3 linked regions of the Notamacropus eugenii genome follow. The protein of the gene in region 1 purifies or fractionates together with the protein of each later gene. This does not show direct contact. Links are inferred from orthologs where the notes say so. Each region holds a gene or a part of one and is shown in the gene's direction. Other genes may lie near its edges.

Region 1 (10,751 bases):
AAGAACTTGGCCTGAAGGAACCTAGAAAAGTCTATAAATTCTTCACATTTCTCCACTGTCTCCCAAGATCAGAACAAGATCAGATGACCCACTATCATTCAGTTCCTTGTTCTCTCATGATTATATTCAAACAATTTCCCTGCCTTCAGTCTTTTTTTCTCTTTTTAGAGAGCCAGCTATGGGAGATAGCGCTTCAGAACCAGTCAGGAAAGTCTGAGTTCAAATGTGACCTCGGGCTATGAGATCCTAGGCAAGTCACTTCACCTCTGTTTGTCTTAGTTTCATCTTCTGTAAAATGGGTATATAATAGCAGCGTCTACCTCACAGTGCTGTGGTGAGAATCAAATGAGATACTGGTAAAGGGCCAGCATGTAGTGGGCACTAGATAAATACTTATTCCCTCTCCCCTTATGCATCCTATATACACAGTTACCTACTCCACCTTCTGAAATAATTGCTTTGTGGATATTTTCTTCCTCCCCTCAAAAATCTTTGTTGACACTGTATATTTCCTACAGAATCACCAGTCAATAAGCATTTAATTACTTTCCCAGTGTAAGGGAATTTAACCTAGGGTCCCTGAACTTTAAAAAAAATCATTTTGAGTAACTATACTTCTTTTGTAATTTTATATATTTTATATTTTTAAAAACGTTCTTCTGAGGAGTCCAGAGTTTCCATAAATTAGCCAAAGGACTCTAGAGGCTGGAGATGCAAAGACAGAAGGAACAGAAGTTCCGACTCAAAGATCCTGTTTTATTAGAGGAAACAACTTAGAGACATATGTAAAATACATTCAAATTAAACCTAATTTCCCTTTCTTCCCCCAAGGAGTTAGTTCTAGCAACTAGGGTGGGGGAGATCAGGAAAGAACCCCATTTTGAGCTGATCTCTGAAGGGAATTATGAATTGTAAGAGATGGAGGTGAGAAAGTGTATCCCAGACCCCAAGATGGGAGACGAAATGTAATGAGTTAAATGTGAAGAGTAAAAAGTCTAGTTTGACTGGACTGGAAGAGTGTGTTAAGAAGAGTCATGTGTGAGGAGCTTGGATGAGTAGGCTAGAGACGGGTTTATACTTGAGTAATTTACTTTTGATCTATTTACATTGGATTGTGGAGGCAGTAGGGAGTCATGGATGCTTTTTGGGCAGGAAATTATATTTTCTACAATTTGGCCCCTACTTGCCTGATGGACTATAAATGTTGCATAACCTCAACTGGGCCCTCACTGCAGAAAGGCAATCCTTTTATGATTTCCCTAATCAATTCACTTTTCCACTCACTCCCTGGACTGTTCCAAAGCTTGTCATCCCTCTTCAAGTCTCTTGCCACACTCCTCTCCTCTCCTCAGCTCATATTTCATATTACCTCATATTTCACCAAAAAAAAAAAATTGAGACCATTCACTAATCCCCTCGTCATCTCTGATCACTAAGGCATCTCCCCCCACTATCTCCTCTTTCACCACTAGCATGAAGAGACAGCCCTTCTCGTCAAGGATGACCCTCTACATGTGTCCTTGACACCATCCCCTCTGGTCTTCTCTAGCAGATTGTTCCCACAATCATCCCCAGTATCTTTCTAATCGTCACAGTTCCCCTTTCTATTTACTGGCCATTCACCACTGTCTTCAAATATGGACATGTCTCCCTTATCCTTAAAAAAAAAATCTTCACTTGATATGACCATCCCTGGTAGCAATAGTCCCATATCTCTCCTCCCCTTCTTAACCAAAGCCTCCACTTCTCCACTCATTTCTAAACTCTCTGCATATCTCACTTTAGATCTCATCATTCAGTGAAACTACTCTCTCCAACATTACCAAAGATTGCTTAACTGCCCAATCTAATGGCCTTTTCTCAATCCTCATCCTTCTTGACCACTCTACCCTCTTTAATACTGCCAAACACCCTCCTGGATTCTCAATTCTCTCTAGTTTTTTATACACTCCCCTTTCCTGGATCTCCTCCCCACCTTTCTGACCAATCCTCAGTCTCCTTTGTTGGATCTTTACAAATATCCTTTATTTATTTTATAAATAAAAAGTATTTCCCCAATCTTCTTTCCTGGGCCCATTCACTTTGTGTTCTCATCACTTATCATCTCCATAGAGATGATTACCAGATTTATTTATCTAGCCCTAATCTCTTTCTTGAGCTCCAGTCTTGAATCACTCACTAACTGCCTTTTGGACAGTGCTTCAGTCCTGCGTCTCCAACTAACAACCCAAATAGAAGATGTCTGAAACACAACTTAATTGTTTTTCCCTTTTCCCAACTTTCTTATTTCTGTGAAAGGTATCACCATTCTATCACTCAGGTTTGACACCTTGATGTCATTCTCAACTTCTTCCTATCATCCAAATATCCAATATGTCAAATTGTGTCATTTCTACCTTTACAAGACTTCTTATCTACATTCCTTTCTCCTCATTCTCACAGTTATCTCCCTAGTTTTGGCACTCATCACTTCTTGCCTCGACTGTTGGTATTTTTTTTCAATTAATAAGCATTTATTTTTATTGAAAGGGAAAGAAAAAGAAAACCCTTGTTATGAATATGCATAGTTAAGCAAAACAAATTCCTTTGTTGGTCATGTAAAAAAAAAAAATGCTTCATTCTTCATTTTGAGTCCATCACCTCTCTGTTGGGAGATGAGAAGCATGTTTGGTTCTCTGGAATCATGGATAGTGATTGAGTTGGTTGGTGTTCTTAAATCCTTCCAAGTTGTCTTGAAAGTCTTGTTTTTATAAATATTTTTCTCCTGATTCTTCCTCACTTTGTTCTGCATCAATTCATATGTCTTTCCAGGTTCATACAGGTCTATCCCTTTCATTATTTTTCATGGCAAAATAGTATTCTTACATTCATATACTGTAATATGTTTAAGCTATTCCCCAATCGATGAGTTCCTTTTAATTTTCAGCTCTTTGCTATTACAAAAAGAACTGCTAAAAATATTTTTGTGCGTATGGGTCCTTTTTTTTTTAGGCTATAATCAATTGCAATTTTTAAAATTTTATAGATAATTTTACTTTTACATCTCTTTGATTTCTTTTTTAAGATTTATTTCATTTTTAATTTATGGAATAAAACCAATATTTCCATGGTATAGTATAATAAAAAAATGATTACGCATGAAACTGCAAATTACTATATATAACTTGCTGTACCTTTTAAATATACAACAAAGTTATCATCTAAATTTCTTTTTTTCCTCTTTTTTCTTCCCTCCTTCCCCCAGAGATGATCACTCTGTGTGTGTGTGTATGTGTGTGTGTGTGTGTGTGTGTGTGTGTGTGTGTGTGTGTGTGGTGTGTGGTGTGTATATAATTATTCTATGCATACTTCTGGGGGCCATCTCCTGTTGTCCTTATCTATATCTGGCCTTTGGACCCAGATGGTTCCAGAGGAGAAAGTGAGGCTGGTGACTTTGAACAGTCCTCCCTCCCTTAAATCTAATTCACTTTCAAGTCATAGCATCACCTCCTTGATGTCATGGTCCCCTTCGAGAATGAAGTACAAACAACGTTCAGTTCTTTCTCTGGATGTGGACTATGTCTTCCTTCATCCTTTATAGTTAATATGAGTATTTATAATGATAGAATGACTGATTTGCTCAGTCATTCTTAAAACAATACTGCTGTTGCTGTATGTAATGTTCTCTTGGTCCTGCTCATTTGGACATAAGTCTTATAGTATTAGCTCTGGGTCAAAAGGTGCGTACAGTTAGTAACTTTTGGGCAGAGTTCCAGATTGCTTTCCAGAATTTGCCTGGACTCTTTACAATGGAATTCTAATAGGTCTTCCTGCTTCAAGTCCCACTCCAAACCATCCTCCCAAAGTGATTTCCCTAAAGTTCACATCTTATCATATCATCCCCACCTCCCACCCTCAGTCAATAAACTCCAGTGGCTCCCTATTACCTCCAGGATCAAGTATAAATAAAATCCTCCCTTTCAGCCTTTAGAATTCTTTATAACTGGTTGCCTTTCTACCTTCTTAACGCTTTTTACTAACTCTGTGAACTCTTTGTTTTTTCTTGAACTCTCTTTTTTTGGTTTGTCTTTGCCCCTATTGTCAACCTGCCTAGAAAGCTCTCCTACTTTACTTCTACCTTTTATTCCCTGGCTTACTTTAGGTCTCTGCTTATATCCCACTTTTTTTTTTTTTATGTCCCACCTTTTACCAAAGGCCTTTGCAGGCTCCTCAGCTATTGGCCTCTTTCCCTCTGAGGTTACCTGACATCTGCCTTGAATGTACATGCTGGGTTTCCATGTTGTCCAGAATGTGAACTCCATGAAGACAGTCATTTTGCCTTTCTTTGTATCTGGGCCTTAGCACTACACAATAAGCACTTAACACATGCTTATTGACTGGGAAGTTGTTAGCATCAGGAGGTAGTTCAGGTCTATATATAGTAGCAGGTGCTCCACAAATGTTTGGCAATGGGGATGGGGATATTGGTGTAGATATCTGAGTATTGTATGTGAATTTCTGTGTGTGCTCCCAGCCTGCCTCTTTTCTCACCAGGAAGAACCTAGTCCTTCAAAGTCAACACTTCCCTTCCCTTTCCTTCCCTTTCTGTCCTTAAGCAATGGAGAGCCTTTGGTGTCCTGTCCCAATCTCCTTGGCCTGCCTGTCTCCCTGTAACCTGAGATGCTCTGGGTCAATTTCTCTCCCAGACTGGAGTCCCCTTGATAGTGGTGGGAATTATGTTTTCCTAACCATTTGGTGATTGGCCATATCCTTCCCATAGTCCTAAGAGTTCCAGGACAGGGGGCCAGGGTGAGGAGGGAGAACCTAGTCTGGATGTGAGGATTATATATCATATCACTCATCCAGCTCCTTCATCTTGTAGGTAAGGAGAGTGAGTCCCAGAGAGGCAAGTCCCAGTAAGTAACAGTAAGTAGCCTTGCCTAAGGTAGGGAAGGAAGGAAGGAAGGAAGGAAAGAAAGAAGTTGGCGGTAAAAGCTAGAATTTGAACCCAGATTTCTTGGTTCCAAAGCTAGAGCTCTATTTCACTGGGTTGCTTTGGGAAGAATGACTGGCAGAAATTAAAATAAGTAATTAAAATGACTGTTAACCTTTGGGAGCCCCCAAACTTTGTTCTTCTCCTGTAGAGGTTCTTGGGCTTCCAACCATCTTCTCTCTGGCAGCACAGAGAGCCCTTTAGGGAGAGGATGCCAAGCTAGAAGGCTGGAGAAACAATTAGGCCCCCCCACCCCCTGGCAGACTGGAGGCAGGTGGCCCAGAAACTGGAGACAGGGAAGGCAGGGTTCTAGGGTTCTGTGACTTACCTGGCCCTCTGTTCCAAAGCTTCCCTTCTCTTGGAGTCTTCTAGCCTGGCCTATAGGTGAGGAGCACACCAGCGCTCTACCCCAAAGACTACCAGGGGTCATCCTCTCCACTTTTTCTCCTTCCATTCTTTGGTGCTTTTCTCCTTGTCAAACACTATTCTCAGGCCCTGCCCCGGGATATCCTCTTCTCTCCCCTGCTCTATCACGCCCCTGCTTCTCTGTTCCCTAGGGAGTTGGAGCCTAGGTTACCTTCTGGCATGACCTTTTATCCAGTGGACTCTCTTTCTTTTTCCAAGCTTGGGCTGGGACCGGGTTCACCCCATAGAAGCAATTAAGATGGAGGAGAATTTGTCAGGAGGGGAGGAGAAAAGTGTTAGAAGTCATAGATGAATTCATCTTCTCTACATATGAGCATGCTCCTGCGTGGGAGGTTTTGTGTGTGTGTGTGTGTGTGTGTGTGTGTGTGTGTGTGTGTGTGTGTGTGTGTGATCTTTGTGACCAGGTATGCGCATAAGTCTGTCTTTATGTTTCTGTTGCTGTCACACACATGTGTATATATGCGCACGACATGCTTCGTGTGTTAAGAAATTATACGCTCCTGTGAGATGGGTCCCAGCACCACCACCATAAGGCTCTGCTTTCTCAGCTTGTCTACAAAAGCAGAAGTAGAAGCAAGTTCCCCCTGGGGGGTCTGGCCTCGCCCCTTCCTGTCCCCGCCTCCCCCCCTCAGCTGCCCTGGACTGGTGGTGCTTCTGGGAGCTAGGGGCCAGTGCAAGGAGGGACTGGGCTCTGTCCTGGGCCCTGTTTATACTGTCCTCCCTCCTCACTCGTCAGCCTACCCTGCAGGAAGACTTCCCAGGATGGTGAGGTAAGGACCGAGGGTGCAGGATGCTGGGGGGAGGAGCTGGTTCAGGGGAGCAGGTGCTCTCTTGTATCTAGAAAAGGGAGACTGAGTCTTGGGCTCTGGACAGCACCTGTCCTGGCCTCTGGTGGCCCTAGTCCCCAGCTGCAGCTTCTCTTCCACAGGTGGTTTCACCGAGATCTCAGCGGGCTGGATGCTGAGACTCTGCTGAAGGGCCGTGGGGTCCATGGGAGTTTCTTGGCCCGGCCCAGTCGAAAGAACCAAGGGGACTTTTCCCTCTCAGTCAGGTTGGTGACTTTCTTCCTTTTTCTCTGGTGACTCTGCCTGTGCCCTTCATTCCTTGGCTTTGTCTCCTCCAGACTACCTCCCCAGTCCTGTGTGATGACCCTTAGCGCTCCCATGAATCAAAGCCTCAGACCTCCACACTGCTCCCTGCTCCCTGCCTGAACCCTCTGGTTTTGTTCTAGCCTTGTGCCTTCTTTTCCCCTTTCCTTTTCTGCTCCCATTTTCACTATTCCTAGTTTGTGTCCCACAGGGTAGGAGACCAAGTGACCCACATCCGCATCCAGAATTCAGGGGATTTCTATGATCTCTATGGAGGAGAGAAGTTTGCTACATTGACAGAACTGGTGGAATATTACACTCAACAGCAAGGCGTCCTACAGGACCGTGATGGCACCATTATCCACCTCAAATACCCACTCAACTGCTCTGACCCCACCAGCGAGAGGTGAGGCAACCCTCCCCCAACTCCTTAACCCCACTCAGAGGGGAGGTTAGCCTTGACCCTGGACTCTTAATAAGGGTCTTCAACCTAAGGAGAGGTGAGCGTAATAGTAACATCAGGAATGCAAGAATCCCTTCTACAACAGATGAAGGCATTCCATTGATGGACAGCTCTGGTTCTTTCTAGAAAGTTCTTTTTCTTTTGGGCCAAAATCCACCTTGTAGTTTCCATCTATTACTGTTCTTTCTGTGATCTGAATCTACATGAAATACATTTATTTTTTTTCCCACATGACAGCATCTTCTCCTTTAGCCTTCTGTTCTCTGGCCTAAATATCCCCAGTTACATTAGTCTTTAGTCATCCGACATGGTTTGCAGACCATTTTTATCATTGCCCCTTATGAAATGTGGCTCCTAGAGCTGAGTGCCAGATGTGGCCTGACCAGAGGAACTACCTCCTCCCTCAGTCTGAACACTGTACTTCTGTTAATTTTGCATTAGATTTTCAAAAACAGTGTTTTGGTCACTGGAAGTCTTTGAGGAAGACCAGATGACCATTTGTTGGGTATATTGTAGAAAGCATTTGTGTTTAGTTATTGGTTGGACTAGAAAACCTCTCATATCCTTTCCAAAACTAAGATTTCATGATTCTGACACTAAGTGTGCAATCAACTGAAATATCTTTTCAGTTCTTTTCACATTAACTTCTGCTAAACCATGTTGGCCTGTCCTGTTCTTGTGCACCTAGTTGGTCAGTGCATATTGAATCCTGTTCATACTAACTGTTCATGTCAGTTCTTATGATATTATATATTATCATATATTTTTATCAACTAGCTAAGTTGATAAGCTAAGCCACTATTCCAAGTCACTGATTTAAAATATTGACCATGATAGGGTTAAGAACAGTCCTAGAGAATGCATATAGCTATTCTCACTACTTTTTAGGAAGTTTCAGACTTAGTACCCAACCTCAACTTTCTCCTCCTTCCTTGGTAATTCCATGGTGTCCCCTCTCTGCTGCTTCACCTACCATGTTCCTTCAGTCCTTCTTCCCATCCCAATCTAAGATCTACTCAGGACACAGGGGCTGAGGGAGTCATGAAGGCCAGAAGCAGTGGGTGATATGGAGGGACTATAGAGAGAAGAGTTTGAGTCAGTCATGGGAATGATAGTGGCAGATTGACTGGGGTCAAAGGATGCAAGAAAGGGAATTAAAAAAAACCAGTAGAGCCATGGATTGGGGGATAGTGAAGGCACTGGTTTTTAATAAAGACCAAACCAAGGGAGACCTTCTAAGAGATGATTGTGAGTGGTTGGTCACGCCCTCCCCATTTCCCCAACGGGTATGTCTGAATTGTCCCGAGGAGTACTCTGTACTCTCTGTGTAGAAAAAGAAATTCACCCCAACAAACCTTCCTTGTTATCCTTCCCTTTCCCTTTCCTTTCTCTTCGAAGTAGTTTCCCTGGGGAATTTGCATCTGTTCCCTCTGTACTTGATTACTAGCCTGTGGGCAAGTCAGTATTTGCATGGACTTTCCTCCTCTGGTTGTTGGAGGTTGGGGACCAGACTTTAGAGCCCCTTCCTTTTCAGTCTGGAGGACCAGGCCTACTTCTGGAGTAGAGTTCTCTTGGCTTAATAGTAGGGTTAGGTGCTGGAGACTGGAAAGAAAACCTTTGGGTCCTTAGGTCAGTGGTCACTGAAGCCTTGGCCTTCTCTGCACAAGCATTGAAAAAATTAAGTTCTTTTTCTTACTGTCTGTCCTACCCTCCCCCTCCTACCTCATCATCCCTGCGGTTGGAAAATCTCTACCCCCCCTCAACCCCCAGGCTGAAGAAACCTCACTTCTCACTCTCTCCCCAAAGGGAGCTTTTTTGCTTTTTCCATCACGTGTTTTCCTGTGGGGCTGGGCAGCCCTGGGGTTAACTGTTTCCTCTAGGGAACAGGTTGGGAGGGGGGAGAGTTGGGGGGATGTTGGGGAAAGGTTCCAGTTCTGCTTTCTGTCCTGACCTCTCAACCCTGCAGCACCCAATCTTTCCTCTCCACTGTGATGGGATTTTGGGGTCCTTCATGTTACCCCCCTCCGTTCTTAGCAACAGCCTCCCCTGGGCTGTCTCCCAGGACTTTCTTTCTCATGTGACTTCCTGTCTTTCCTAATCTCTGTTTATTTGACAGAGACTACTATGAGTTTGGCACACAGAAAATGCTTAATAAGAGGCATTTATTAAGTTGTTGAATCTACTGCTTCTGCCTGTAGATTCACTGTTAGCCTGCTTCCCACCATCTCTATTTCAGCCTTCGTGTCCTCATCTCTGTTTCCTAATCTGGTGTTTTCTCTGTCTCTGAGTTTCTCCTTGGTCTTAGTCTCACCCAGTTTTTGTCTTCTTGACTCTTTTCCTTTCTCTGGGTCTGAGTTTCCCTTTTTTTCAAACCCATTTCTCCCCCCAAGGCTCTGCTGCTCTCTCTTATTCTATCCCATCAGGTGGTACCATGGCCACATGTCTGGGGCCCAGGCTGAGACGCTACTTCAGGCCAAAGGTGAACCCTGGACGTTTCTGGTTCGTGAGAGTCTGAGTCAACCTGGTGATTTTGTGCTGTCTGTACTCAGTGACCAGCCCAAGGCTGGGCTGGGCTCCCCACTCAGGGTCACTCATATCAAAGTGATGTGTGAGGTGAGATGAACATAGTGGCAGGGAGGGGATGAGAGTTGGCAACTGGGCAAATGGAAGATGATTAGGGATAGCCGCTACACAGCACGAGGGGCCCATCCCCAGGGTACCAGGTGGTTGGTCAGAGATCCCCATATTCTCATCTAGAAAGAGTATGATTTACCTTGCCATACAAGAAAATAGAGGAGAAGGGCATAAGAGAAGGGGAGAGGGGTTGTGATAGAAGGGAGGGCAGATTGGGGGAAGGGGTAATCAGAATGCATGCTGTCTTGGAGTGGAGGAGGGGAGAGATGGGGAGAAAATTTGGAATCTTGTGGAAGTGAATGTTGAAAACGAAAAACAAATTGATTAGTAGAAAAAGTATGAAGGGTGATGTGGTCTCAAAAAACCATCAGGAAAATTCTATGTCTTACCCCCAGGGTGTTGCCACCCTGATTAAAGAGGAAATGGGGAGGTGGGGGGATTAGATTTCAGGATTTTTACTAGGGGTCAGGGAGATGAGGAGGAGATCAAGGAGAAGGCTTGCCGTTATAGGCTGAGCTTGGAGAGGTCTTGGTACTTTCTCTGTCTTCCTTCTCTCTTCCTCTCATTTCCCATTGTCACACCTTTGACTTTGGTCTCTCAGTCTGGCCGTTACACAGTAGGTGGTTCTGAGACCTTTGACAGCCTCACAGACCTGGTGGAACATTTTAGGAAGACAGGAATTGAGGAGGCTTCTGGTGCCTTTGTCTACCTGCGGCAGGTGAGCAGAGGGCTCTCCCCTTGTCTGTTCCTCCCCTCCCCTCTGATTCCTGACACCTCAGCTCTGGCTCAAGTCTCTGAATTCCCTGACTCACGATCACTCTTCCTCCCCTCTGTCCAATGATCTTCTGACATCTCCCCAGCCATACTATGCCACAAGAGTGAACGCAGCCGACATAGAGAACCGAGTCTTGGAATTGAACAAGAAGCAGCAGGCAGAAGAGACATCCAAGGCTGGATTCTGGGAAGAGTTTGACGTGAGTCCCAGCTGAGGTGGGTGGGCAGAGTGGCACCAAGGCATTGTGCCCTGGACAAGGCTGGCAAATCCTGTGCCCATGGAGTCTTGATTATAAAATTCCACAAAATTCATTAAGTACCTATTGCTTGCAAATTCCATCACGCCCTTTCACTGTGGGTGTTTCCCAAGGCTCTGTCTTGAGCATTCTTTTCT
Region 2 (10,946 bases), on another chromosome or scaffold:
ACTCCTAATCCCTTCCTCTCATTTGATATTCCCCCTTCCTCTCCTTTCTTTCAGCTAGTCCTGTTCCTTAGGTTTTTTTAAAAAAAAATTTCACTTTTTTTGCTCGCCTTTCCAAAAATGATTTCTCTCACTCTATTCATTATCCATCTTCTCTTTCTGTCTACTGTAGACCCTCATTCTCTGATTCATGACTCTTATAATTATCTGATCTCTCTCTTCTCTGTATTCTTCATGCAACCAAAGCTTCCAAGGGATCCATTCTAGGTTCTGTCCTCCAGTCCCTTTCTGTCACTGCTTTATAGGACTTGACCTCCAAAGATTGTCTTTTCCCATTGTACTTCACTTCCAGAATGATGCTAGCAATTACAGGTGTCAGGGAGAGCACTGGCCCATGGTAGGACCCCTCCTCCACCGTATCCCTAGTTATGCAGCCCTCCCACTAATCTAAAGCCTCTTGTTGACCTTTTTCCTACATTTGCTCTGAAATTTCCTTCCTGTGTCCATGCTCTTTCCACTCTTCTAGATGCCAGCTGCCCCCAGGGGTTCCAAACTCTCTCCCTCCCAAGAAAAGTAGATTTCTCAAGTACCAAATCTCCCAGGTCTCATCTCTTTCACTGATCATCTCTCTTTACCCATAGGGGTATTCATCAGTGGGACTCCTCTCATCTCCAAAGTAAGGCCTCCTCTTCCATCCCCCTTTCAATCTTTCCCTTCTCCTTACCCATTCCCTTCTAGGCTCTTCTCTTTCTGGGACCATAGAAGTCACCTTCCACTCACTTCTAGCTCTGCATTTGATCCCAGTCATTTTTTTCTATCTCCCTGCTCTTCTCCTTCTGTTTTGTATCTTCTCATGTTGTAAGGTAGTCCCAAAGAGAAACATTCACCTGTAGGCAGGGTGACTCCAGGTTCTGTTCAAAATGCTCCCCTGTAGTCTTCTTCACTGTTATCTCTACCAGATTTCCATCTTCATCCCTGGCTCCTTGTATACATTTAGAAAGAAGTCTCTGTTGTCATTCATTGCAGTTGCTATCTGCATTTATTCACCCCTCCTGTATTTATGTTGTTTGAGGTGTCCAAGAGACAAATAATCTCTTTGGTTCTAGTTTTTTCTAAAAACATTTCCAACTTTTCTTATTATTGAGCATCCATCTTTTGTTTTGTGTTGTTAGGCTCAGATTTACAGGACAGAATACATTATTTCCTCCTTTTTCTAGTGGCTGAGAAATAGTCTTGCATTATTCAAATGTCCTTTCCTTTATATTTGAAGGTCTTTCTCCTGATGACTTGAAGAACTTGTTTCAGAATTGAATGGCTAAATTTAATCACTACATGTGATGTGCAGCCTTGAGTTCGGTGGCTTGTTTTTCTCTCCTGGAAGTAATCTGTGAATTCTTTCAATTGGAATTTCACTTTCTGTGTTTAGAAGTTCTGGGCAGTTTTCTTCTATTATTTCCTTCATGAGGGTGTTAAGGTTTTGTCTCCTGTTGTTTTTCTGGCTTGTGTCTTTGCCTCCTGTCTTTGGGTTTAATATATTTTACTTGCATTGTGAGCATATTTTCTCTTAACACTCTTGTTTTTTGTTTCTCTTTTTCTAGACTGTCTTTCACATCTGTATATTTGCATTCCCAATCTCTTGTTCTCTCTTTTGTTTCTTTTATGAGGCTTTCCACTGTAGATTTAAGTCTGTTCGTTATTTTTGCTGTGCAGGACACAAATTCTGCTCTCATAATTGTCACTTCTCTTTTAAACCATTCAGGAACAGTGAGTTGTGATTCCATGTTCTTCTCAACTTTCATGGGCTCTTCTGTCTCATCAAGTATTGGATCATCTTCCTTTATTTTGCAGAATTTATTCATACATACTTGAACTCATTTACTAGCTTTGGAGGCCATATTTCCTTCTGTTGTTAATGTTTGTCCCATTGATTTATCTGTTTATGTTCAAGGTCTTTAAGTTTTCTTCTTACTGAAATCTGTAGTACTTTCAGTCTTTTTTCCCCTTTATTTTCCTTATCATTCACTTCTTGGCTCTCTCCCCTCTGACCATAGGCCAGATGTCAAAGTGTCTTAACTTCTACCTATAATGGGCAATTCACATTTCAACAACATAAGCCCCTGGCCTAAATGACTTTTGAGTGGTCAGAACTAACCCTAGTTGGATGCTGTGCTCTCTCCTCAAGCTTGGTGGAGCACTGCACAGCTCCCCACATGCAAGGTGTCCTGTCCTGGTGACCTTTCTGCTCTCTCCATACCTCAGGTCTCTGGTCTGGAACTAGCAATTTAGAGTTTGTTTTCCCTGGCATTGTAAATTCAGAGTTTTGTAGCACCGGTACTCCAAGTTTGTAGACCCTAGTAGGCTTTTGCTCCTGAATGGGTGTGGCCAAGCTAACTGTTGAGGACAGAGCAAACTTCTGCAGCCAGAACCTGGGGTCTCCATAGTTCAGGAAAGAGGAAGGCGGGACCAGGGTGCGACAGTGGGTTTCGATGTAAGCCTGTACAGTGTCCTTGAGTCTGCTAGTGAAGTCTCATGACTAGTAGTGTGGGAGGCAAGGGTGGAGTACTACTGAGTGAATTCAGGGTCAGTGAGTCATCAGTTCCTCTCTCTCTCTCTCCCTCCCTCTGTCTCTCTCTCTGTATTCAACTTTCTTTTGAATTCTGTGTCTTAGAGATAGCTGAAGTTGCTTTATATTTGGCACATAATTTCTGTTTTGGAGAGGTCTGAGAAGGTATGTGGATCAGAGATAACGTCTTGTGTGCCATCTTGTTGCTTATGTGACCCCTGTTTAGTACTTAAAGTTCTTCATAACCTGGTCCCTTCCTCCCTTCACAGTTTTCTTACACCTTACTCTCCTCCACACAGTCTACATTCCAGCAACACTGGGCTACAGGTGAATCCCCAGTTCCTTGAATATAACACTCCATTGGGCTCTCTCTGCTTTTCCGATAGCTCCCACTCCTTGAATGGCATTCTCACCCTAGGCTTCTTAGGTGCCCTGATTTCCTTCAAAACTTAGTTCAAATCCCACTTGCTCTAGGAGACACTTCCCCGTTCCTCCTGCTACTGTTTTTCTGTTTCAGATGTCTTCCAGTACTCTGCATAAATCTTTTATGTGTTTTATAACTTCTGTCATTTGTAATATAGTTTATAATATATACATATTTATAATTATATAATTCATGTACTTGTTTACTTGTTGCTGTTCCCAGTAGAACGTAAGCTCTTTGTAGACAGGGGTTGTCTTTTTGCCTTTTTTGTATCCCCAAGGTTTAGCAAATCAAGTCATGATCTTAAATTCTCTCCACTTGATTTGTTTTTCAGGTCAGTTGTTTTTGATAGGAGATATCTTATACTTTCTAGTACTTTTTCAATCTCTTGACTTTGTTGCAATGTTTTTTGTCTCATGGAATCATTAACTACTTTTTGGCTCATTTCAATTTTCAGAGTCTGTTGTGTAGTTCAGGTTGTGTACCTCTTGTGCCAAGATGTTAATTCTCTTTCCAATTCTCATTTCTTTCCCAATCATTTCCCCTAGCACTCTCATTTCATTTAAAATCATGTTTAGCTTAAAAAAAAAACCCCCAAATCTCTTACTTCTCTTCTAGGAATTCTAGTTAAACTTTTGCTCTGCTCCTCCCATCAGAGTTCTAGGGATAACCCTAAGGGGCTGAGTTTTCTAGTACTGTTGCATAGAAGCCTCCAACAATGTGCTTCCCATTGATTGCTGATCAGAGCTAATTATCTTTTATAAAGGGTATTTACTAAACAGGTATAGCAAGCATAGTTGTCATAGAAACATCCTCCTTCCCTAACTGGGGCAAGCTCTGTCCATGCATTGCATACACAAGGTCGTTGGAAAGAGTGGATTCACACTTAAGAGCTCACTTGTAGTCAAAGGGAAAACTCCCAGCTCCAGGTTCCTGTCACTGTAGAGTTCTTATGAAGTTTTCCTTCTCTCTACTTGGCTCTGAGGGTCCTGGGACTGCCTTTCCTTAGTGCTTTGAGTTTGCCCTTGTCCAACGAAGGTTCTGCCTTCAGATTTTACTGCTGCCTGATGCCAGTGGGAATTCTTCTGACCTTTTGAGGTTCCCAAGGTCACTACCAGGCGGTCAGTGGTGTTGGGAAGGAGAAAACTCCCTCTTCCCTATTGCAAAGGGCAGTTCCCTCTCAAGTGTCCTTCATTTCTGGAATTGACCACCATCCAACTCCCTGCTTCTGGAATGCACAGTTCTGAACCAAACAGGGATATGTCTGATTCTTTCAGCCAATCACAAGATAATTTTTAAAAAATGTAGTATCATCTATCATCTTTATCCAATGATTAAAGCACTTCCCTCCTCCCAAATCAATTAAGGCTTTATTCACACCTAGTTACACTTTAAATAGATTCATTCAATCTATCTGTCTAGGATTTCCTGATTGACAGGGGTGGGAAAAAACATCTTACCTTACACTATGGTGATGCCCCAGGTGTCTGTAAAGTTTGAAGCTAGAAAAGTGAGAGAATCAAGCAAAAAGAGAGTCATGAAAATTCAAGAAGAAGATGGTGTCCAGGAAGAGGGAGAAGGATGGTCAGCAGTGGTCAAGGAGGATGAAACCAATCTCCCCAACCACTGGCTTCCCACTGCTTATCCCATCACAATTCCCATTCTCTTTCATTATTTCTTGGTAGCATTTGTGGGGAGGGGAAAATGAAAAGGAGCAGAAAAAAAGTAGGATCTGCATAACTTGACCTTAATTTGTCTCCACTTAGAAACACTGATCTGGGTGTTGATGAATGATGGGGTTTCTATTGTAAAAACTTTTTCTTCAAATTGCCCTCAGTACAAGATGTCCTCTCCATTTAGAAACTTTTGTTTCATGGTCAATGTGAAAATGAAAACCACCAACCACCAACCTCTCAGTTATCTTTTCAAATGGAGGAGACTGTCAGCATCTCAAAGCTAGGAGGGACACAAAGGCCATCCCATCCCTGACTGAGAATCCCTTCCATGTTCCCTCTGAAAAATGGCCATCCAGCCTTGGCTTGAAGGCCCAGAAGCCACTGCCAGCTGAAACAGTTCATTCTACTTCATTCTTTTTCTTTTTCTACTTTTTTTTTTTCTTTGTTCTGGGGATAATGGATACTTTTTAAATGGCAGATAATTAACAGTGGGGCCGCGAGGTGGCGCCATAGTGCATGAAGCCCTGGGCCTGGGGTCAGGAAGACTCACCTTCCAGAGTTCAAATCTGACACCCAACACTTACTAGCTATGTGATGATGAGCAAGTCACTTCATCCTGTTTGCTGCAGCTTCCTCATCTGTAAAATGAGCTGGAGAAGGAAATGGCAGACCACTCCAGTGTCTCTGCCAAGAAAACTCCAAACACAAAGAGTCGGACATGACCGAAATGGCTGAAGAACAACAAATCCACAATGTAATTTCTATTTGACTTCAGGGTTTTTAAAAACCACATTGGCCTTTGAAATTTGCTTGGTTTATAGATTGTATTGAAATGGATTTTAATTTCCTGAGTTGCACTGGTAGAGAGGGGAAGGCAGTGGCCAGAGGTAACTGAGCTGACATTAAACACATTTTGTCCTGTACAATCCATCAGCTGAATAACCAAGACCTGTATCTCAGTAAATTAGCTGTTCCTCTTCACCCCCACTTTCTTCTCTTCTCATTCCATTAAAACTTTCAGATTGGTTCTCAATTACCCCTAGCCCCTCAAGACAAGGGAGGAGACTGACTGAGTCACAGGTCAGGGCTAGATGTAAAAAGCAAAGAACTTCCTCTTTCTCACTGAGGCTGTTCTCACCCCCAAGGAGGGAGAAACGGAGGATGTACAAGAAGCAGGTAAAAAGGCACCCTATTCTTTCCTTATCTTACACCTTCCCTTCCTCTCTGGCCTCCTCCCAGACTTCCTCGTAGTCCTGTTCAAGTGCCAAGTGCCATTTTTGGTCAGCACTCACTCCCCTCTCCCTGATGCTACCCTGAAACTTTAACATGGACTACAACAAACCTTCCATGTGTGGGCTCTGATTTATCCCCAACTTCTGTCTCTTCTCCCCTGATCACTGTACTAAGGTGGGAGCACCCCTTAATGGTAGTTAGCCTGAGACTTTCTGGTCACCTCAAGCAAGGATACGTAGTCCACTGTCCTTCCTTCTCACCCTGGTGTCCTGAGCCAGGTTCCTGACCAGGGTAAGGCAGGGATCGACCTGACCCGGGGCTGAGGACTTTGGGGAGCTGGATGGCATTTGCTGGTTGAGGTTGGGTCTAATGATGGAGAACTATACTCATTACTGTGGTTCCGTGGTATGAACCACAGTAATGGCTTCTCAGCTTCAATCCACTGTGGGAGCCCTGGAGGCGGGAAGATTTGGTCACATCTAGCTTCTCTAGCCAATCTCCACTTCTAACTTTTTGAGTTCTGTTTATTCCAAAGCATAGCCTTGGCCCCCACAGCCTACTGGCCAGCTTTTAGCTTCTTATTTGTACCCATGCCGGCCTACTTTGCCTCAGTACCAGTCCCATACCAGCTCCTTTTTTTTTTTTTACAAGGTTTAGAAGGGGAACCACAGGGGGAAGGCAAAAAGGGTGGAGATGAGAGTGAATCTGATGTGACAGGAGACACACTCTATCAGCACATCCTGGTCATTCCCCAAGGGACCATGCTAAAGGCACCTGCCATGTAAATAGAGACAAATTTAACTTTATGCAAATGTTAATCATAATCAGGGACAAGAAAAGCAGTATGTGTGCATTCAGAAAGTGAAATAGATATTGGGGTGGGCCCTCCTCATCATGCTTTTACTCTCTCATCTCTTGAACTTTGTGAGTCAACACCTTAGAATGAGTGTTCCCTGTGCAGAATTCTAGACCGAAGGTCATGGGGGAGAGAGAAAACAAGAGAAGGAGTCTTCTCCCTGACTTCCAATCTCAAAGGAGAGACAAGATCTACAAACACAGCTATAAACAGGAATGCCCCCTCAAACATACCAAAGAGTGATGAACCCAGAGAGCCCCACAACCACAAATGAAAACAGTGGAGGAAAACGATGATCAGGAATGGATGGGAGTGACCAAGGAATGCATCCTGAACAAAATAAGTGACTTTCTTGACTGACCTGAGAACTGATTTTCCTTTTTCAGGAATTCTGACCAGGCCCGAGGTGGCATCATGAGCCTCCTTCACCTTTCTATTCTGGCTCTTGGTAAGGACTGTTGCCAGTACCTAGGGGTGGGAGTTGAGGAGGGAGGGAGGTTTTAGGTAAGAGGATGATGTGGAAATGGGGGTGGAAGAAGCTACCTTCATAGGAGAGTCCACAGGGAAACTGCTCTTAACTGTGTCTCTTGTGCTCTTCCTCTTTCTCCACGGGCTCTGCTTGGTTGTGCGTGTGTGTGTGTGCATGTGCATGTGTGTGTATGTGTGTGCGCACGGGTATGTGTTTTTCCCTCTTGGCCTAGTCTTTGTGTATACTATCTGTTTCATGGGTTTTCTGTCTCATTATCCCCCAAACAGAATCTGTTTTCTCTCTTGACCCCACTCCCTCCCTCTCTCTTCTGCCTGCCTTTTGGGGCCCCAGGATTCCTGGTTCTGGGTCTCTGTCATTGGGACGTCAAGCTACCAAAGGTCCTCCATGCTTGGGAAGGCACCTGTGTCCAGATCCCCTGCAGCTACAAGACCTCTAAGGGCACGGAAACACTAAAACAATATATCTTGTACCTCAATCCGGAGTATGTTGAGAAGAACAAGACGTTCCATGGGACCATCCTCTTTGACATGCTTGATTCTAATAAGAACAACAGGACACGGTTTCTGGGATACGATAGAAGACAGGACTGTAGCATGCTCATCCGTCCAGTGCAGGTCAACGACAGTGGGAAGCTGGGGCTGAGGATGACGACCCAGGATGACAAATGGATGGAAGAAACACAACTCAACATCACTGGTGAGGGGCCATGGGAAGGGGAAGAAGGGCATTCTCAGCAAGCCCAGGTACACTGCTCATGGCTCCTACTCTCTAAGCAAAGCATGCCAATATTTGCACAAAGCTGACTGGGCAAGCACGAGCTGTTTTGTGCTGGGCTCTGGCAAGGCGGCACAAAAGGAGATGACCTAGTTCCTGGTCTCAAGCAGCTGTGAGCCTGACAGGAGAGGAAGGTCCTCAGGCCTAGGGCAGTCCATGGTCTGATAGAGAACAGAGTCTTTGCCGTTGGAGAATTCTCATTTGGACAGATAAGTAAGGGTAGATAGAACATCCCACTCTAGAAAATGGGCATACTACTCATTCCAATTCAACAATCCTTTATTAAGCACTACTGTATGCCAGGCATTGTGCAAGAGGGACACAAAGAAAAAGTGAACATTCCCTGTCCTCAAGGATCTTCCATTCTGGAGTGATGGAAGGGCAGGAAGTAGAACATGGACAAAGATAAAAAAGCATTTCAAGAAGGGCCAAGGGAACCCCAACAGTTTGGGTTGGGGGAGTTCCTTGCACTACTACCCTGCCTCCTGGGGCTCTTGTGACCAAAGCGTCTTGTCAACTTTAATGGCATGATAGAAATGGGAAGTTTCTTTTCTTACTGTTACCCCACTTTATTACCACAGTTACAATGATTATTAGCACTACCTTTATTACTGACACTACTACCATTACTATGAATACTTACAAAGCAGCCTCTAAGAAGTGACTGCTTGTATGATGCAGAGGGGTGACTGGAGTCAGGTGGGAGTAATTGGGAAGCTGTCCAGAAGGAGATTCTGAGAGAAGCCCCAGGATGAAGGTCCCTTCTTCAAACCTCTCAGATTAGAGCTAAGAAACCTTCCTCCTCCCTTTCTAGACCCTCCTTCCTTTTCTCCCTCAGAGTCTGCACCTCAACCACACATTCAGCTCCCACAGCGGCTCCAAGAGTTCCAAAAAGTAACTGTGACCTGCTTCCTCAATTACTCCTGTTCTGAGTACCCTGTGAGCTTGCACTGGTTCCTGGAGGGGCAGCAGGTTCTACCGGGCCAGGTCGAGAACTCACAGTCCATGGAAATCCAAAGGGTTGTGACGGAGAGCAAATTCACATTTACTCCCAACTGGACTCATCATGGCAAGAGGCTGACTTGCCAGCTCTGGCACACTGATGTTCAGCATCTCTCTGAGAAGACTGTCTTGCTGGATGTGAAGCGTGAGTCTCCTCAAGTGGGTCCCCTGTTCCTTAACTGTGAAAGAGCTTTGCTATCACTTTCATCTCCATAATCCTAAATATCTTCATGCATGGCCTGCCCAGAGAGAAGGGTAAGAAAAGTGTCTATCACCTACCTCTAAGGATGAGCTACAGGCAATGGTGTATCTCGCCAGGGCTTCCTTCTGTCTTCCCCCTACCTCCTCCCCCTTCCCCATCACACAGTGGTGTCTAGGATGCTAGTCTATCTCTGTGGCTGAACTCAGAGATCAGAGCCTCATTTTAATATCAGCCCAAGGCTGATAGGCAAATAGACAATAGAGTACAATTCAGTTTAGGTCAGTCAGTATCTAAGCAGGTAAAGTTCCTCACCCTGGCCCTCCATCTCTCCTCCATCTGCATTTGCACCGACTGTCTCCTGGCTCCCTTCAAGTCTCTGCTAAAATCCTACCTCCAGTAACAGACCTTGTCTAGGCCAACCCAAATCTAGTGGGTTCCTGCTGAGATCATCTTCCATTCACCCCTTATATATTTATATGTGCACAATTGTTTGCCTGTGGTCTCCTCTGTTAGAACGTGATCAGCCTGAGGGTAGGGACTGTGGTTTTCCCTTTCTTTGTGCCCCTGGCACCCAGTACAGAGCCCAGCACATAGTAAGTGCTTGATAAATTGCATGTTAACATGCTTGAATCAACTGTCTGAGGAACGGAAATACAGATAAAGATAGGACAGAGTTCTTGCCCTCAAGATGCTTCCATTCTACTTGCATGATACAACATGTATACAAGGAAAAGTAAATCCAGGAGCAGGTGAGAGAACAGAGAATTGGCAACTGGGAGCCCCCAAGAAAGGCTTCCTCAAGGGGCTAATGCTTAAGCTGAGCCTTCCTTCCTGGAAGCTACAGGTTCTGAGGAGCAGCTTGGTCCAGGGAATCATGGCAGACTTGGAGGCAGTCAAGATCAGGGTTCAGTTCTTGATGCTGCTGCTGAATACCTGGGCTACTTCGGGCAAGCAGTTTCCTCTCTCTTAGCGTCAGTCTTCTTATCTGAAAAGTGAACTTAGATTTATAAACACACTTGAGAATCCTTTCAGGTGCCATACCCTCTCCATCCCTAAGTGACAAGTAACCATGTAGACTGGGTGGATCTCTCCTGTAGGGTTCTCAAATTGCAGACCTTTGAATCTTCCCCATAAATTCCTTCCCTCAATCTTTCTGATATTCTCTTTTCATTTGATTTACTTGCTGTCCTTCTAGATACCCCAAAGATAACCATTGAGGCAAGTCCCCACCTAGAAGTGAAGGAGGGAGAATCAGTGACTCTGAGGTGTTTGCTCCAAAGCAGTAACCCCACATTCCAAGGCAGCTTCTTCTGGTTCAAGGATGGAGAGGAAGTGCAGAATTGGAATGACATTCTGACTCTGTCCAACGTGAACTGGCAGCAGACTGGAAATTACTGTTGTGAGGCAAAGAATGAAATGGGCCGGGGGAGATCAGAACCCGTGCACCTGCAAGTCCTATGTGAGCTGATCATGGGGTTGGGGACTTAGCGAGGGATCAGAGAGTCTTTGGAGTAAGTTTGCAGAATGGAGGAGGGTCAGGAGCTTATTCATGATGGTTTATTGTTTTTTGTTTGCTTTTTTGGCTATGTGTGGGGGTGCTTGAGGGGGAGAGATGAAAAAATGGACCAGGACTAGAGCAAAAATGGGGGATTCTCAGGATTATTTGCTGGTCAGTGTGATCACCCTATCAACTTAATGCCAGCTTCTATCCTTTCCTTGCAGATTCTCC
Region 3 (10,672 bases), on another chromosome or scaffold:
ATAAATTCTTCCCTTCTCCATAGATATGAGAAATAAACTATTCCATGCTTTCCTAATTTGTTTGTGGCATCACCCTTTATGTACCCATGTACCCATTTTGACTTTTTCTTGTTATATGGTGAGATGTTGGTCTGTACTTAATTTCTACCAACCTGTTTTCTCAGCAGTATTTGTCAAATACTGAGTTTTTATTCCCAAAAGCTTGGATGTTTGGGTTTATCAAACACTAGATTACTATGGTTATTTACTACTGTGTCTTCTGGCCTAATCTAGTTAACTGATCCTCCAACTCATTACTAGCTAGTACCAGATCATTTCGATGGTTATTACTTTATAATATAGTTTGAGATCTGGCGTGTCTAGTCCACTTTCCTTCATATTTAAAAAAAATTAATTCCCTTCATATTCTTGACCTTTTATGCTTCCAGGTGAATTTTATTATTATTTTTTCCAACTCTATAAAACAATTTCTGGTAGTTTAGTTGGTATAATCAATAATATATATTCTATAATTATATATTTTTATTATATAATATAATTATATATAATATATACATATAAATTAATTTGAGTAGAATTGTCATTTTTATTGTATTGACTAGGCCAACCCATGAGCAATTAATATTTTTCCAATTGTTTAGATCTGATTTTATTTGTGTGAGAAATTTTTGTTTTGTAATTGTGTTCATGTAGTTTCTAGGTTTGTCTTGGCAGCTAGATTCCCCAGTATTTTATATTGTCTACAGTTATTTTAAAAGGAATTTTTCTTTCTATTTCTTGCTGCTGGACTTTGTCGGTAATATATAGAAATGCTGATGATTTATATAGGTTTATTTTATCGAGAGTCAAGGATGACAGGTTGCTAATCTAGGGAAACATAGTCACACAGACATGTGCTCCTATTATACATTCACCTACACATTCATATCCTCCAGTGTTCTGAGACCCTTAAAATGTTACTGTCACATCATATCCATATCTATAGTTGAGAGAAACCCTATCACAGAATCTCAGATTTCCAATCTAAGATGGAATCTCTACTCCATACCTCTCTGGAGTGTACTTGTGACTCTCTGGACTTCTTTCTCCACAAAGCTCCAGGGTCTCCCTTGCTCTGGAAGCTGCTTTGGCTGTTGTGCTCCTGTAGCCTTCTTGTCCTGGATGCTGCCTTTATCTCTGTACTCCATTAGCCTTCTCATATGGGAAAATCCCTCCACCCCCATGGTCCCTTCCTTGGAATGATTGTTTCCTCCTGAAACCTCCTTTTGAAGGCTAACCATGTTGATTCCTTCATTCCTCTCTGGGACCTATTCATGATATTCCAGACTTCTTCTTCCACCATTACGCCTTCCTCAATACATCCCGTTCCCTCCAATTTTCAGCTTTCTTTTATGTGTTGTTTTTTCCTTACTGAAATGTAAGTTTCTCATAGGTAGGGACTATCTTTCTTTTTGTCCCCTAATATCCCCACTGCTTAGTGCCAGAGTTAATGTAAGCTAGTTGAATTTACTTGGAGGGAACCGCCAATGTCATCCACTCCAACATATCCCTGAACAAAGTCCCCTTTTACAAAGTACTCTATGAAGGGTCAACTAGTCTTTGCTTGAAGACCTCCAGTAAAAGGGGAAACTGTTGCCCTCCCAGGTAAACCATTCCACTTCTGGATAGTTTTAATTGTTGGGAAACTTTTTCTTCCTTCAAGCCTAAATTTGCCCATTTGCCATTTTGACCCATGAAGAACCAAACAGAATAAGTGATAACTCCTTTATATCCTCTAAAGATAGCCTCTTCCGAGGTCTTCACTTTACAGGGACAATGACAATCCACCGAATTGTAACTACTGATGGTGTCTGTGGTCCTGATAAGGACAATGAATGGTGAGATAACCTTAGCAACCCCCAGAGATATTATCTCCTCTGCTTGAGTTGGAGAAATATGCTACTTTTCTAACTGAGCAGCACCTTTAAGATCTACCTCTCTCTCCTCCCCACATGGGGGGAGAAATCTAAGCAGAAAAGCCCTTTTCTGCTCCCATAGTCAGAAGCTCCTCATGCCAATCACTCTACATCCAATGAACAGCCTCCCTTTTGCTGTTTTGTTAATTATGGTATAGTTCCCCTTTATATAAGAGAAATTATATAGCCATTAACCCTTGTTGCATATCTATGTAAGCAATGCAGATGGAGGTAGGTGGGGGAAACCAGTTAGTCTGAGAAAAGTGGGAGGTAACCCAATTAATAAATGGTCAAAGGATATGAACAGACAGTTTTCAGAGGAAGAAATTAAAGATATCTATAATCATATGAAAAAATGCTCTAAATCACTTTTGATTAGAGAGATGCAAATCAAAACAACTCTGAGGTACCACATCACACCTATAAGATTGGCAAACATGACAGAATAAGAAAATGATAAATGCTGGAGAGGATGTGGGAGAGTTGGAACACTAATTCATTGTTGGTGGAGCTGTGAGCTCATCACCATTCCGGAGAGCGGTTTGGAACTATGCCCAAAGAGCTACAAAAATGTGCATACCCTTTGACCCAGCAATATCGCTGCTAGGACTGTATCCCCAAGAGATCGTAAAAATGGGAAAGGTCCCACATGTACAAAAATATTTATAGCAGCTCTCTTTGTGGTGGGCAAAAACTGGAAATCGAGGGGATGCCCATCCATTGGAGAATGGCTGAATAAATTATGGTATATGAATGTAATGGAGTACTATTGTGCTATAAGAAATGATGAACAAGAAGACTTCAGGGAGGCTGGAAGGACGTATATGATCTGATGCTGAGTGAAAGGAGCAGAATCAAGAGAACTCTGTGCACAGCTATGACCACAGTGTGGGAGAGTTTTTTCTGGTAGAGTTGGAATTTTGTAATAACGCAAGAACTTATTAAAAAAAAAATCCCAATGGTGGTTTTCTAAGGCAAAACGCCTTCCATACTCAGAGAAAGAAAAATGGAAGTCATTTGCAGAATGTAGCAGATCATGTTTGTGTGTATGTGTATGTGTGTTTGTGTATCATGTTTTGATTTGTTATACGATTTCTTCCATTTATTTTAGTCTGACTACATAGCATGACTATAGTGAAAATGTACTCAATAGGAAAGTATATGTAGAATCTATACAGAATTGTATGGTGTCGTGGGGAGGGAGGGGGGTAGTGGGGGGTAGGTGTAGGGGGGATAAAATCTTAATTTTATGGCAGTGATTGTAAAACATTAAAGAAATAATAATAAAATTAAATTTAAAAAAAGTGGGAGGTAAGTCCAGCCTCTAGTGAGAAGCCAGTGGAGAGGCAGGAAAGCAATGGTTTCTAGTGTCCCATCCACAGGTAACAAATCTTTTGGAGCACTCCATGACCACATCCATTGGTCAGCTTGAAGTGACATACAGGAGTGTAAATAGAAAGAGATTATAACCAGAAGAGAATTTTTTAATGCACACACTCTAGACTAGAGGATAAGCTCCGTGGGGCAGATATGAGTCATCCTAGGATGGAGCAGGGAGAAAGATTTGTCTTCCCTAGGGATTACATGATTCCTTCTGGATTCCTTTATTGGTATGCTCATTGCCCCACATCCCATCTCTCCTTTCAGCCCCTTACTGGTAGGTAGGTAAGGATGTTTACAGAGGGTGGGACTCCCCTGACTCCCTCACTCATTACTGTCCTATTTACATACCTACACCAGTGTCTTCTTAAACATGTTTCACTCTATTCCATATAGGGACATCTTGTCCCCTCCACCCTACCCCACCCCCACCATGTTACATGTGGAGGCTACCATTCCCCAGAGTGATATCATTCTCCCAAGGGAGATGAGATCCAAAGCCTTTTTATATGTAGGGGCAAACCTTATTGCTTTGTGTATATTTAGACATGGACAAAGTCTAATACATTATACACACACACACACACACACACACACACACACACACACACACACACACACACTCAGAGGCATTTATCAGGACCTGTCAAAGTCCCATGCATGATTGGTCACTTGTTAAAATGTTGTTTAGATGTGATCATGATCTCTTTCCTCTTCCTTCTCCCTCTCCACAGCTGCATGAAGGGTGGAGCCTAGGGGATGGGGGTGGGGGACAACCCAATAAGGGGGTGGGGTTTTTCCCATCGCTGACCCCCTGTTACCCCACTTCTGTATCTCTGTCTCTGTGACTATATTCTCACTTTCAGAAACAAACCGTTGAGGCTGTTTTCACATCCCTTTTATCCCCATTCCCATGACTGACAGTCCCCTCCACTTCTTAGGTACACAATTTCTTCCACTCCAGGGGTTATTCTCCAATAGAATATAGGCTCCTTGAAGGGAGGAAATAATTATTTTTTTCTCTGTTTTCTCAGTACCTAGCAGATCACCTGGGATTTAATAGGTTTTTAATAAAGTTTTATGGTTGATTGATTAGTCTTGAGAACCTGGAGTAGGACACTTGGGGGCCAATTCTAGCATCCTGAACCTCTTTTGGATAGAGGGTAGTGAAGTGACAGGACCAGAGCAGCAACTTTAAGTGAGAATATCAATTTCATTACCTACAAAATGAAAGTGTTAGTCTAGAAATGATCTTTAAATTCCGGTCTATCTCTGACTGTCAATAGACCATTCATGCATGACCGAAATGGGAGATGGGGAAGGAAAGAACCCTAAGCAGGATTGCTAGAGGGGGACGACTTGGTCCTTGGTCCTCTGAGTCCTTGCAAGGTGCCAAATACCTGGAGGATTCTAGTCTCACATCCCTGAGAATCTGACCTGGGAGACTGCATGTGCTGGGTGTTGGCAAACACAGAACTACCATTACAGTCAGTAAACCAATATCTTTGATTAAGCACCTTCTGCATACATAATCCTGTGGGAGGAGTCATAATGAAAAATGGGAAATATGGTTCCCAACTTTGAGGAAAATCTTGTTCTGATAACACCATCCTAGGAAATTAAGTGGGGGGAAGAGTCTCCCTCTTTGGAAGTTGGCTTGGAAAGACACAGACATTTCCCTGGGGACCCTCAAGTCTGATGACATGGTCCCTATAACTACCCATAGACTGAGTCTGTCTATATGCTGGGGAGACAGATTAGAGTCCCTAAGTGCTCAGAAAATACAGAGTAAGAGGCATTGGTGGGCAGGGGTGGGTGTGGATATGGGTGGTCAGAGTAGGACAGAATGAAGTTAATCAGGGAAGGCTTCCTGGAAGCTTGTTCCCATCTCTAAGCCTCAGTTTCCCCTTCCCCTGCCTCTGGTCCCTCTGAACCTGCTCCTTCCCCTGAGCCTCAATTTTTCCATCCCCTGTGCTCTCCCTTCCTATCACTAACCCTACCCTGTTTCTATTTCTGAGCTGACCCCAGTTTTTGCTTTACTGACTCCAGCTGGGGGGATGGGGGTGGTAATTTCTAATATCTTCCTCTTTTGTGACTAAAAATCATCTGGTAAAGAACTGTGCAGTGTGACATGCTCTCAACAGGGAGTGGGCAGAGAGCCTCAGAGGGACTGAGGGCAGGAGACATAAAGGGGGCAAGGAAGGAGGGGGATCAGATAAGGAGAAGGGGGCACACAGAAAAAGGGAGACAGAGAAGAAGGGAAAAAAGGGAAGAGAGGGAGGGACAGGCTTGGAGGGGAGGGACAGTAAGGAACTCAGGACCATGGCTGAATCTATCACCTATGCAGATCTTCGCTTTGTGAAATCCCCTCTGAAGAAGACCCTTTCGGCTAGGCTGAAGCAGGGTAAGAGTCCTTGGAATTTCTCAACCTTAACACAGCCTTGATACTATCCCCTGCTCTGATCTCCATCCTCCTGGTATTCTCCCCTCTCTGAAGCTGACTCCTTTTATGCCCCATCTCTTCTGAACCCACTCCCCTATAGTCAGTTTCCCTTCACTAACTCCATTTCCCAATACTTCATGCCCCTTCACTTATACCATCTCCCTATAGTTCATCATCCTTTCCTGACACCATTTTCCTATAGTCCATCCTCCTTCACATAGTTAATCTTCCATTATCTCCTTGTAATCCATAAATGTTTATTGATTGATTGATCATCCTTTTCTGATTGGGCATTTCTCCCTGTGCCCCGCCCTGGTCACTGACTTATGCCTCCTACCCAACACATACACTGATGAATCTATTTCTTCAGTGACCAGACTCTCCTATGCTGACACCACACACTGTTTACTAACTGATGCCCCCACACTGACTCTGCCTCATTGTCAGCGATTTTTCCCATATGCTATCCTCACTTTTCTAACCCATCTCCCACCCCTATGCCATTGCCTCATCTTTTTAATGACTAATTACCCTTCCTGTGCTGGTCCCATCCCCTAAATCTTACTATTGACCCCTTGGGGCAGCTAGGTGGTGCAGTGGATTAGAGCACCAGTGCAGGAGTCAGGATGGACCTGAGTTCAAATCTCACCTCAGACACTTGACACTCACTAGCTGTGTGACCTTGGGCAAGTCACTTAACCCCAATTGCCTCATCCTGGGTCATCTCCAGTCATCCTGAGGAATATCTGCTCACTGGATTTAATAATTTAATGATTAAATTTAATAATTTAATTTTAAACTGGATGGCGCTGGAGGAGAAGTGAGGCTGGTGACCTGCACAGCCCTCCCTCACTCAAAACAAAGTCAAGTACAAGTCATGTCATCATATCTCTGATGACATGGTCTTCTTTGGCAATGAAGGATGAACATACACACTATTGACCCCATTATCATCATTGATCAACACTCCTCAATGACTAACCCCCTTATACTGACCCCATGCCTAATTAACCATTTCCTCATCTCTCTCCCCCCTCTTCCAGACCCTGAGGTGGATGAGGATGGAGAGCTCACCTATGAAAATGTGCAGGTGCCTTCAGCCAAGGATGGCTTCTCTAGCCCCACTCAGCCTGGACTTGGGGGACAAACAGGTAGGTGTTCCAGAAGATTCTGAAGGGACTGCTTATTGAGAACATGTAGGGTTAGAGTGGAGGAGTGTTAGGGTGTCCCTAGGGATTTTAGGGAGAGGGGAGAAGAGAGAGGATCCTGGGTATACCTGGGGAAGATGGAGTTAGGGCCAAGGGAGATGGACATGTCCCTGAGGAAATGAGACTACCCAGGGAGGTGGTTAGAGAGATGAGGGAGATTCAGAAATAGAGGGATAGCCATGGTGGGATACTTTGAAGATGAATTTACCCTTCTATTCCCAGGAGGGGAAAAAACAGAAAAGACAGTGACTGCACCTTATTCAGTGACATCACCAATTGCCAGGAGGATTCTGCCCTGTAAGTAATAATCACCAAGCACTTTGGGGCCGGTCTGAGTCTGGGGGTGGGAGCACTTTGGGGCAGGGAAATCCTGAAACACATAGAATTGGGGCAGGGGAAGAAGAGGAGATGCCTTTAAGAGAAAGAAAAAGGCAGGAAAAGAAAGGAAGATCGATGACTAAAAACACAGGCCATTGGACCTCAGGAGAGGATTTCTAGGACTGAGTAGTTAGTAGTACTCTGGGGCCATCCTTAGGGTATGAGCAGTTGGAACACACACCCCAGACTGCCCTCTAGCAGAGCTGGACTAGAGTATGGAGCACTGCAATGGCCAGGGGAAGAAAGATGGAGGAGAGGATCCTTCGATGCCCAGTACTAGGTGGGAATAGATGATGAAAAGGAGAAAAAGCCTAGTACAGATGATCCCTGTTGTCCTGGGGGTGAAAATTCAGTCACATAATGACCCCCTCTTATAAGAGCACCTACCCTACCTTCGTCCTGATCCTATCATCCTTTCCCTTAAACACCTTCCCTCCCTACAATGCCCACCAAACCAGTACCTTAACCCAATCCCCTTCTTATAAAGGGCTTTACCACATACCCTTATTATCCCTATAAGGTTTCCCTCCTTATAACTGACCCCTTCTAAAACTATCCCTTTTTTTCCTGTAAACCTCCACACCCTCCCCAAACACAGACTGGCCTACTATACCAACTTTTCTCTCCTCAGGCCCTGTGGCCTGGATACCATACATTCTCCTGAGCCTGCTAGGTACCTGTTTGCTGTTGGGGGTTGCTACTATCAGCCTGGGCATTCAGTGTGAGTATGGTCCTCTCTTGTAGCGTATGTTTAAAATAGTAAATTCTTTTCCCCCAATTATCAAGCATTCTTTTTTTCTCCCTCCCTTTTCTCTTCCCCTAACCCCCATCAAACAAAACAAAATAAAACCCTGAAACATATATACATAACCAAGCAAGATAAATTCTCATATTGGCTATGTCCAAAAATATATGTCTCATTCTCCATCACGAGTCCATTCCCTCTCACCGTTCTTCTTCATTAGTCTCTGGAATCAGACTTGATCATTTCATTGATCAGAGCTCTTAGTCATTGCAAAATTGTTTTTACAGTGTTATTGCTATAAATTTTTCTCCTGGTTTTATTCACTCCCCCCCCCCCGGTGACTTATTTTAATAGTCACCCTGAATGGGGATGGTTTGGGAAGGGATGTAAAACCTCTCGTTTCCCTATCTCTAGTCCTTTTCTGCCTCTCCGGAGATATATCCCTCTGCCAGAATCACCAACCACCTCTCGCTTACATTCCTGAGAGAACTTCGAAAGTTGTTCCTGGTTCATATAATGAATAAGCTTACAAGTAGCCAGTATACAGTGGTAATAGTAGTAAGTAAGATTACGAAGGGGAACCTGGAAGTCATGTACAGATTGTCCCAATGATCAAAGGAGCATGATTTGTAAACCGTATCATACATTAACTAACAATCACATGCTAGGAATATGTGCTAAATCAGGGCTTTGCGGGGCCTTTGAGTTCTATGATGTGTTAGTCTCCGATAAGTTCTAGACATCTCCACTAAGACAATAGTGCTGATAATTTTGCAAAGGTGTGGATATGTTAACGTTAAAGTTTTAACGACAACTTTGAGGTGATTTGGATATGTTAATGAACTAACTTCAAAGTGGCACAGGTATGAGAGTCTATCTCCCCCCACAAAATCTATAAAAATGGTACCTCAAACTCCTCTCTCCCCTCCACCAAGCATTTTTCCATCTCCATTGAGTCCATGCTACCTAGAGCTCTTACCTTGAATCCATGGTGATGTAAATTACTCTGTGACTTTTCCCCTCCCCATTCTCTTCTTTCTGCTATCTGCCTTTACATCCTCTCCTCTGATTTTTTCATCACTCTGTACTTTCTATGCCATTTTTCCCTATGTCTTCTGTGCCTTATTAAAGTGTGATTGCAGCCTTACTTCCCACTGCCACTGTGGTCTTTCCTGGTGTGTACCCAAAGAACCAGGTGTGCCTGCCCCATTTTATAATTCCATAAGTTCATTAGCAATTGATTTATGAAGGCAGGGGCCATGCCTTGGCTAAACCTTGTACATTCCTCAGCATCTAGCATGGTACTCTATATATAGCAGGTGCCTTATGAATGTCTATTGTGGGAGTGGTCCCTATAGCTCTGTGCTTTCCTAGATCCACCTCCTTCTTCAGCCTTTAGCTCCTTAAACCCTCATGATTAAACCCACAAGAACTTCATAACCCAATTTTGGTGAGACAAGCAGCTGAAAGAGGGAAGTTGTCTTGAAGTTTGCAAGAAACAGGTAGAGAAAAATGATAAATACCTATAAGGTTGTAGAAACCATGAACTCAACTTTTCTCACCCTCCCTGCTTTTCTGTGTCCAAAAGATATGCAGATATCTCACCAGCTTAGAAACACCAAACAGGTCCTGGAGGTCAGCAATGGTAGCCTATGGCAGCAGCTCCAAATGGGGGCTATCCAGTTGTCAAGGAAGGAAAAGGATCTGCAGGCTGCTTGGGAGAAGCTGGCCCAGTCCCAGCAGAACCTGAAGGTAGAAAAGGAACAGCACCAGGCTGCTGAGGGCTACCTGCTGACCTGCAGGTCGGAAAGGAATAAGACAGAACTGAACCTGAAGGACAATATGGAGGAGAAGAGAAACCTGGAAGAAAAACTGAAAACCTTGCAGAATGAGCTGAAGAAAGTTCAGACCCTTTTCAGGTGTCCATTCCGAAGTAACGGTATGAAGTTTGGTGGATGGGTAGGGAAAGGGAGGTTGGTGGTGGAGCTGATAAGGGACCAGCAAGACAACTGTGGAGAACATGTGGGGAGACAAAAGTATGGTGTAATGATAAAAAAAGTAGATTAGAAGTTAGAATAACTCTTTAACCTCAACCTCGAAATAATCTTTGATATTTCCCTATCCATTCATTTAATATCTGAGCATGTTGTATGCAAGATCCCATGCTAAGTACTGGGGGGAACATCAAGATGCATGACATAGTCTTTGCCCTTCTAAGAGTTTAAAGTTTAGGGGGAGTGAGAAAAAGAGCAAGTAGATGGATTACTTAGTACAGGGCAGAATGTTAACAAATGTCACATGGGTGGAATAGACTGGTGCCATCTGGCTGGCAACCAGCCCCTCAACCTTGGTGATTCTTTCTTTGCCCTCTCCCTGGACTTTTCCTTGTCTTTACCACTCTCACTGATTGGACCTTGAAGGATGTGTAAGATTTAGACGGTCATAAAGGAAAGGAAGGGTTTTCCATCCAGGATATATGGAGATTAGATAACATGAAACATGCTTGGTGAGGAGACCTGTTTAGCTGTAGCACTGAGGTAATGGGAAGTGCATGGTGCAATGG

The links. The genes of interacting proteins can lie anywhere in the genome.
Region 2: the proteins of PTPN6 (region 1) and CD22 purify together in Homo sapiens (affinity purification with western blotting; 5 studies listed by BioGRID and IntAct, with this or other methods). This does not show direct contact. The link is inferred for Notamacropus eugenii from reciprocal best matches to the Homo sapiens genes PTPN6 and CD22.
Region 3: the proteins of PTPN6 (region 1) and CD72 purify together in Homo sapiens (affinity purification with western blotting; 3 studies listed by BioGRID). This does not show direct contact. The link is inferred for Notamacropus eugenii from reciprocal best matches to the Homo sapiens genes PTPN6 and CD72.

What each region holds. Positions count from the first base shown.
Region 1 is NC_092874.1:195,340,191-195,350,941, forward strand, and holds the start of PTPN6 (tyrosine-protein phosphatase non-receptor type 6), read left to right. Parts: upstream 1-5,882; 5' UTR 5,883-5,905; coding exon 5,906-6,168; intron 6,169-6,326; coding exon 6,327-6,449; intron 6,450-6,697; coding exon 6,698-6,892; intron 6,893-9,372; coding exon 9,373-9,562; intron 9,563-10,184; coding exon 10,185-10,301; intron 10,302-10,443; coding exon 10,444-10,557; intron 10,558-10,751. UniProt on the Homo sapiens protein: Tyrosine phosphatase enzyme that plays important roles in controlling immune signaling pathways and fundamental physiological processes such as hematopoiesis.
Region 2 is NC_092876.1:32,628,878-32,639,823, forward strand, and holds the start of CD22 (B-cell receptor CD22), read left to right. Parts: upstream 1-5,786; 5' UTR 5,787-5,836; intron 5,837-7,135; 5' UTR 7,136-7,163; coding exon 7,164-7,197; intron 7,198-7,569; coding exon 7,570-7,935; intron 7,936-8,851; coding exon 8,852-9,160; intron 9,161-10,412; coding exon 10,413-10,676; intron 10,677-10,939; coding exon 10,940-10,946. UniProt on the Homo sapiens protein: Most highly expressed siglec (sialic acid-binding immunoglobulin-like lectin) on B-cells that plays a role in various aspects of B-cell biology including differentiation, antigen presentation, and trafficking to bone marrow.
Region 3 is NC_092872.1:79,154,055-79,164,726, reverse strand, and holds the start of CD72 (B-cell differentiation antigen CD72), read left to right. Parts: upstream 1-5,512; 5' UTR 5,513-5,657; coding exon 5,658-5,739; intron 5,740-6,821; coding exon 6,822-6,929; intron 6,930-7,208; coding exon 7,209-7,283; intron 7,284-7,995; coding exon 7,996-8,085; intron 8,086-9,697; coding exon 9,698-10,048; intron 10,049-10,672. UniProt on the Homo sapiens protein: Co-receptor of B cell receptor (BCR) that plays both positive and negative roles on B-cell functions. Recognizes the Sm/ribonucleoprotein (RNP) self-antigen ligand, and coligation of CD72 and BCR inhibits BCR signaling.